2 linked regions of the Mus musculus genome follow. The protein of the gene in region 1 purifies or fractionates together with the protein of each later gene. This does not show direct contact. Links are inferred from orthologs where the notes say so. Each region holds a gene or a part of one and is shown on either strand. Other genes may lie near its edges. The genes, in order: Amer1 and Fbxw11.

What was found.
Region 2: the proteins of Amer1 (region 1) and Fbxw11 purify together in Homo sapiens (affinity purification with mass spectrometry; 7 studies listed by BioGRID and IntAct, counting the BioPlex papers as one, with this or other methods). This does not show direct contact. The link is inferred for Mus musculus from reciprocal best matches to the Homo sapiens genes AMER1 and FBXW11.

What each region holds. Positions count from the first base shown.
Region 1 is NC_000086.7:95,441,913-95,446,212, reverse strand, and holds the start of Amer1 (APC membrane recruitment protein 1), read left to right. Parts: upstream 1-1,372; 5' UTR 1,373-1,555; intron 1,556-4,300. UniProt on the Homo sapiens protein: Regulator of the canonical Wnt signaling pathway.
Region 2 is NC_000077.6:32,733,047-32,736,859, reverse strand, and holds part of Fbxw11 (F-box/WD repeat-containing protein 11), read right to left. Parts: intron 3,361-3,813; coding exon 3,242-3,360; intron 1,723-3,241; coding exon 1,473-1,722; intron 1-1,472.

The sequences.
Region 1 (4,300 bases):
TCCTCACCCTCAATTCACTTCTCCCTCCCCTTTTAGACATTGAAGGAGTTTTCAAGCTGGGATTTCTGTACATTCCAGAGCTGGTTATACAACCGGATTCTTTGTTGCTCCAGCTCACCTGGCACTGGCAGTTACTAATGCCACTTAATGTCTTTAGGCTAGTTAGAGGCCTAAGCTCAGCTGGCCCGTTGCCACATTCCAGACACAGTAGCCTGTAAGGCTGGTCTGACAGGCCTCCTCAGTGTTCCTCAGTATGACCTCTGGTTAGGGCTCACACAAAACTTCTTTCCCTATCTAGAAAAGGGATCTGCACAGACCAGACTCACAATTGATGAAGTGTGCTCTGGAGATCTTTGTTTGTTTAATTTTGCTTTTGTTTTTGGAGACAGGGTTTCTCTGTATAGCCCTGGCTGTCCTGGAACTCACATTGTAGACCAGACTAGCCTCAGACTCAGAAATCCGCATGCCTCTGCCTCCCGAGTGCTGGGATTAAAGGCATGTGCCACCACTGCCCGCCTGGAGATCTTGAGAATCATTCCATGTTCGTTGGAAGGTATGGAATTTAGGTGAGAGGCCAACTATTGAAATAGTATACTCTAAAAACAGTTATTTTCCTAGGGAAGAAAAGTGAAAGGTACCCTGAAAGGTAAGTATAGGTCTATATTCCAAATATGTCCCAGTTACTGGCAGTCTAAGTAACGGAGGTGAAGTGCCTTTTCCCAGGCAGCACTGATGGTAGTTGACCTCAATCTTGCCTTCCCTAAGAGCCTGGGGCAAGCAAGGAAAGTGCAGGGCTAAGGAGCCAGGTGGTGTGGGGGTGGGAGGACCAAGAGGCAGGTCACTTTCCTGACAGGTGATTTCCTCTCTGGGAAGACCAGCCACCTGGCCCTGCTGCCACTCTTAATAATTAGCCAACCATGGTGCTAAAGGTTTCTGCAGGCCCCACAATCTCTGGCTCCTTCCTTTTCTCCCCCACTTCTCACAGCTAGTCTCGAACTGAGTGGAGAAACTCTTTGGTAGCAACCTGGGAGCAGTAGCGCAAAAGCACCAAGTTAAGGAATGAGGAATGTATGCAAAATCGAAACCGAGTTCCAAGAGTCTGGCAAGTCCCATTTGGGCGGGACTAGCTCCGGGAGTAGGGTGTGTAGCCACGCTGAAACCCGCCCCGCGTGGGAGCGGAAGTAGGGAGTCCCTGCAAGGGGTTCGACAACCTCTCCGCCCCCCTGCCAATACCACGCCCGATTTATTTGCATTTAAAGAGAGAAGCACCAAGGAAAACAGTGGGCGGGCGAGGGCATGCCTTCCAGCCGTCATGATTGGACTGTATGCCTGCCAATCATATCACGGACGTCCCACCCTATAACTGTGGAGTCCGGGGTGAAGGGGGTATGGGGGAGCTGCCCAGAGCCTGGAGAAGGGTAGTCGGCGCAGAAGACTGCTGTAGTCCCGGTGAAGGCTGCGGCAGGAGCAGTGGTGGCGTTCTCAGCAGAGGCTCCAGCTCAAATCGGAGCAGCGCAGCAGACAATAAACAGCGCTGGGAGCTGGACCTGGCAGGGTAAGCATTGCACACAGCTAAGAGCCATCCTGCTGAAGGTCTAGTGCATCCCCGCGTGCTCCGCTCTGGTCTCCTGGACTAGGGTTTCCAGAGCCTGGCTGATCGGAGTCCCAGCCTCTTGCTGGTCTTTCTTTGAACTCGCTTTGCGTACTGTCCAGCGAAGGGCCCAGCGGCCGTTAGTCTTTAGGGTCCGGGCGACCGTGGCTGGGGGGTGGGGTGGGAGGGCCGGAAGGCGGGCGGACTATCCTGGGCTACGCCTCTAGGTTGTAATGGGAGGCTGGGATGGGCCCACACGTGCTGTTGCGTGGTTCCGGGAAGGGCGCCGCTAGCCAGCACCCGGAGAACGCATTTGCAGGCCGGGAACTCCTTATCTTTGTTTGTAGTATATTTTCTGGAACAGCTGTTAGGCCGGTGCTGCTCACCCGCGAGGCCTTGCTGTGGCCCCTCCCCTCTGCGGTGCATCTCCTATGTCTCTCCTCTGCAGAGGAAGCTGGCGCGCTCGCTTATGGCCAGACTGAGACTGGCTTTAGGGTGGATTAAGATATCCACAGTCTGTTCCTCCTCAAGGGAGCACAGTTGGGTTTCTGAACTTCCCACTTATCCTGGAACCTTGGTCCTATGGTCCCAACCAGCCGCACCCCCTCCTGGGCCTCCAGTCTGTCGTTTGGCTCCCACCCCCATTGCAGGCGGGCTGGACCAGGAGCTCTTACTGGCCCTTGGGTTAGAGCTGCAAGGCCGCTTTGTTGCCGCCCCCACCCCCTACGCGCCTCTTTTCCCTTGTAGGGCATAGGGCGCGTTTTTTTTTCTTTTTCTCTCCAGCCTTTGGTTTAAAATAGCAATAGGCACAATATTGTGGGGGGATTTCCCTGCTAGAGGCGGAGGGGGCCGTCGTTGTAGTAAAGAACACACAGTATATATAAGGCAGACAAATCCTACAACTTCTCAGTTACTTAAAATACCCAGCCTGCCAGACTGCTGTCATTGTCTGCTGCAGACACCTCTGACACTGGTGACCGCCCAAAGGCGTGATTTCTCCTGAGCTCCCCTTTGAGGGGCTAAGCTTGCCAGATGAGCCATGGGAGGCAAAGGCGGCAGCGGGACTAATACAGCAGGACCATCCTCCCTGTCGCTGGACTCGCCTTGAGAGAAGTGTAGACAGCCCTGTTCGCATATGTCTTCTGCGTCTCTGGCTGGCCTGCCTCAGCAACACTGGTATGGACTGGTCTCCGGGCACTGCATTGTTGGACTTTCTGTCCTACCATTGGAGATTCCAACAAAGCCCATTCCTTCGAGTGCCCTACTCTGTGCACCACTCTGGACTATTAAGGCATTCCTGAAGAATAAGAGAGGGGATTTGACTAAGGGACTGTGCAGGCTGGACAGCTTTATAGTGGGGCATTGAGACCCAGTAAATAAATCTCTTACTTTGTAACGTTAACATGGGATATCTATCTATCTATCTATCTATCTATCTATCTATCTATCTATCTATAGATATAGCTATATAGACACACACACATACACCCAAGCTAGGATTGGGGATACCACATTATTTTCACCCCTACCTAATTGACCAGACCTCAACACATCTTTGCAGCTGGTCTTTTATTTCCAGCATCTGACTCTGCCCTGCTTTGACTTCAGTCCAGCACCTTTCCCACACTCAAACACTCTCATCCTACACTTGTCCAAGTCCCTCCCTTTCAGGCCTCAGTTCTCAACCAACTTTCTCTTTGGGGCATTTCAGGCTGCTTCTAGATGAGCAGACCTCTTGGAACTCCTGTACAGTTAAGTTTCACTGACTCTGCTTTGTTTCCCTTATATAGGTATTTAGGTTCTCTCAGAACCCTCATAGGGGTAAATAAAGCCTAGGCCTCAGCTACAACCCTCTAGGATCCTAGATTTATAAAGCAATTAATGAGTGAATGTTCCAGAAGGACTTTCTGTCTTTGTAGAACTTTAGAAAAGACCTTTATCCTCCCAACTTGTGTTTGCCTTAATCCATGAAACATAAAGTAAACGTGCCTAAGGCTCAGATATGGATATAATATACCTAGTGTGGGTGGAAAGAGGGATTGGGTTGCTACTACATTCAAAAAGAAAGTCATAATTAGTTCCCTCTATTATCAGGGTCTGGACTGCTCAAACCCTGGAGCTCTGCATACTTTTGGTTGCTGATTCATGAGCCTACAGGCAAAGTGCCATGGAGAGATCTCTCTCTCTGCATTTAGAAAGCAGCTGGGAAGTACAGGAGTTTGGTAGAGAAAGAATAGACAGAATGAGAAATGAAAGGGAGTGCCTGGCAGGCAGGGTGAGTGGTGGAGGTGGCATAACTCAGAGGTGCAAAAGAGTTTAGGACCCAGTGGTGGGAACTGCCAAACATCAAGCCTTGAAATGGTGATCTAATCTTTTTAGGCGAAGATCTTTAGATCATTGAACAAAGGCTGGTCAGGGTCAGGGGTTGGGGGTGGTGGATGCACCTTCGAACCAGCGATAAGAATGGAAGGGTGTTTGATTGTTTGGGGGTATTTGTATTGGGGTAATTTGGGGTTTTGTTATTATTTTGAAACAGGATTTCACTAGGTAGTCCCAGCTGTTCTGGAATTTGCTTTGTAAGCCAGTGCCTTTGAATTCATCGATATTTGCCTGTGTTGAATGCTAGGATTAAAGGGGTGTACCACCACCAGCCCAATAATAGAGTTTTTGAAAGGGTTTTTAAATGGGGTCTTAGAGATTGAAAGCATC
Region 2 (3,813 bases), on another chromosome or scaffold:
AACAAAAAACAAACAAACAAAAAACCAAAACAAAACAAAACAAAAAATTAAAACTCACCCAGAAAAATAAAACTATCTAAGTTTTAAGTGGACTTAAGATACATTTATGCAGAGCAGGTACAGTGACCAACAAGCAAGCAAGCACCACAAGCCACCATAGAGTAAAAGCAACTCGACAGAGCAGCCTGCATCTCAGGACAGCTACAGGTCAAAACAAGACAGTGATGAGTGTGGACAGGTGGCGAGTGGAGCAATCTCCCCACAGAGGTGACTTCTAATCAGGCCCAAGTGCTCAGCTGTCAGGGCTGATCTTGTGCTGACTCTTGGCATATGGCTAAGTTATACACACAAAATCCACTGTTCAGCTCTCAGACACCTCCAGTTTCATGTGATATAGCCCATGATTTGTAGGGTGAGTTATCAGGGAACAGAGCTGTCCAGTGCTAACCATTAGAAATCCTTCAAGCCAGCACAAAGTCTCATGCTGGCAGGATCATAACATGGGACAACAACCTGAAAAACCATTTGCAGTTTCCTGCGCTGTTAGTCAATTTAAGAGAACTAAATGAACGTGCAAAAATGCATGGGCAAATGTTTATAGCAACATCATCCATGACTGCCAGAAAAGGAAACCAGCAACAGTCCATCAGCACAGAAGGGGAATACAAAGTGTGATCCAATTAGAGTAAAGATGAATTTGGCCACCAGAAGCAACAAAGCATGGATCTGTGCTGAACCCTGTATTACATGAGAAAGCCAAACACAAAGGGCCACATAGCTCATTATTCTGTTTACATGAAATGTCAAGAACAGGCAAATTCAGAGACAGAGGGTAGAATGCTGAATGCCTGGAACATCATGTGGAAGCAGGAGGGCTGAGTGAATGTTATCAGCATGGACAATGTGTGAAATGTCACAGAATCAATGTAATTAAGAGATAACATAGATATGGGAATCAGAACTGAATTTCTTACACCGGTGCTGCAGGTTATCTTAGTCTACAAATTGCTGGTCTCATGATTGCCTTCCGTCTGCCAAATAAACTTCTTGAAGACAGGGACACGTCTTGCTCATCCTTCTTTCTCCAGCCATCTAACCAGCACACAACAGCAAGCTCTCAGCAGTCAAAAAAACCAAATCTAGGCTCCACATGATTAGTTTGAGCCATGTTTGTGAAACAGAGACCTATCCTAAAAAAGTGTGTGGGCTGGTGGATGAGATGACCTGTATAAAACTCCTATACACAGCACACTCAGGGTGACTAGCCATGGAGCTCATGAAATTTGCAATTGTTCTCTACTGGGACCAATGGCTTTTTCTTGCCTTGCCCATGGCTCCAGAAGCATGTGGAATGGGAAGATCTGGTATGAATGCATAAAAAACAGACCCTGCCACCTGGTGTAAGCCATCTCTGCCTTTTCTCTGCTGTATAGAGATGGAACAGTCAGGATGAAGACAGCAGACACACTCACTTTAATGGTCCTGTCTCCTGAAGCAGACACGATGTATTTATCATCAAAGTCTACTACATTGACAGCAGCACGGTGGCCAACCAGAACACGGCGTAAAGTGATATCGGTGGCAGAAGCCATGTCCCACACGGCAATGGAACGGTCCTTGGAACAAGTCACCATCAGTCCATTGCTGAAGCGTAAGTGCAGTACGGCTTCATTGTGGTGGATGAGTGTGTTGAGCACCTCACCAGTGTTCACATCCCAGACTCTGGAAGAGAACAGAAAGTTGTGATGGTAAAGCCAGGGAAAGGTGACATGTGGGCTCATGCCATTCTTGCTGTACCAGGTGTGTGGTAGCACCAGCAGATCCCTGGCAGCAGCCTCCTTAATACTGATAAATCTAAGATGCTCTTAAGAAGTTAAATCTGGCTATACACAGGTTTATCTCACACTCTAAGAAATTAACTCAGAGATGTTTTCAGGTTTGTACCAATGACAAAGACAATCCCTCAAGACAGCAGGCTTTGAGTGAGTCTGTGATGACAGGAGTCTGACAGTTCCCACTGGCTTCTGGCATGCTGAGGAACCTGCTGCTTTCATCTGCAAACTAAGCTGTGGCATTTTGTCAGAGCACTTTCTGTCTGACCCAAGACATGGGGTGCACAGGTGTAGCATCTCTAGAAAAAGCTCCAACATCCTAAAGGATACTGTCACAGACCAAAAGATAACCCTGAAGGCTAAACAGTGACCTGAGGCTGAAGCAGCAGCCTAGAAGCCAAGCAGGGGCATGGGCAGCAGCTGTGCTGTGGGCAGGGTTAAACAAAGCCTGACAGTGTGACAGTAACCAAAAGGGGACATCATAGAATCCAGAGGTAGAATGAGCAACTATCCTATGTCCTGTGAATAAGCGATTGTCTCTAAGCATCTGAATCACATAAGATTTGCTGCTTTCCACTCCTCATCCCCTGTAGTCCCCCTCAGTCTAGCCAGCCTTGGCATTATGATGTCCTTTTCTCTGTTGGACTCAGTCACCTTGCCTGCAATCCTGAGACATGGGGAGGAGTGCTTTCCCAGGAGCACAGGAGCATATCTCAGTGACGCTCCCTTTTTAATCTTTGATACCCAACTACTAGTCACAACTCTCTTATGCAATGTCTTCTCCACTCTATCCTGGGTTGACAACTAAAAACTAAAGCCTCCACCATTAATGCCTTGTCTTTATAAAGACAGTCACAGGTTACTTAAACTCAAGGCTCAAAATGCACTGGTAATTTGACTCCCGGGAAACTATTTAACTTCTTAGTTTTCTAAGGTACCAACACAGATGAAGATAATGCCTAAAAGAACTCAAGCAGATATCCGTAATCAAATCTATCATCTCTGGCTCTCAGAGCTCACTTTCCCAAGGGTCTGCCAACAGCCTGATTTTCTCAGTTCCTGCATCCTTCACACTTCAACAACAGCGGACTTCTTCCCCTCTGCTCTGTTGGCAGGCTCCTAAGAACAGGAGGAAGGTAACAAAAGGCAGTGTGATTGGCTAGGAGAGCATAGTGCCATCTCTATACAGCATGAAGAGGAACAGGACACAGCTAAAACTCAGCCTCCTGCTCTATCTGCTTAGTACAACTCCATCAAAAAGAACCTGGAGATACTACAGTAAGTTAAAAATATGTCTAGAACCACAAATATGTGTGCATGCATGTGGATATGTATGTGTGTACAAATCTCTGAAGAGGGTACGCATCCTTGTCTCCTCAGGACTTTGTCTCTGAGATCAGAGCACTCACCTCACCGTGGAGTCTGAAGAACCAGTTACAATGACTCGCTCATCATACTGGAGGCAGAGGACAGAGCCTGTGTGGCCCGTTAGCACTTTCAAACATTCCAAGCTGCTTTTATCCCAGATCTAGTGAGACAAGATCAAGCACAGCAGCAGTTTAATACACACACTCACACACAGATTCCCACGCATCTTGCACTCTGAATCATCGAAGAAACACACAGTGTGTAGGAAACAAGATGAGTCTCAAACAGGTAGGAAATGACAAGAGGAGAAGAAATGGGGCAACACCTACTCGCATGCAGAATAGTCACACGGCTTTCCTTATGGTGTATGTAGCCCTTGGCCACTGTGCTCAATCAGCAGCTTGAGAAAGGGGTTTTTTTATAAAGTCTGGAAAGAGTCTCTAGTAAATAGTGACAGCCTCTATGACGGCCTTTTAGAAACACATACCCCCCCCCCTTATAGCTTCAAAACTTTAAAAATATAGAGCCTTTGTTCTCTCAAAATCCCAAACAATGAACCAAGAGTTCTTAGTAAGAAAATGTTACAAAGTCAAACTAAGCACTTAAGAATTGA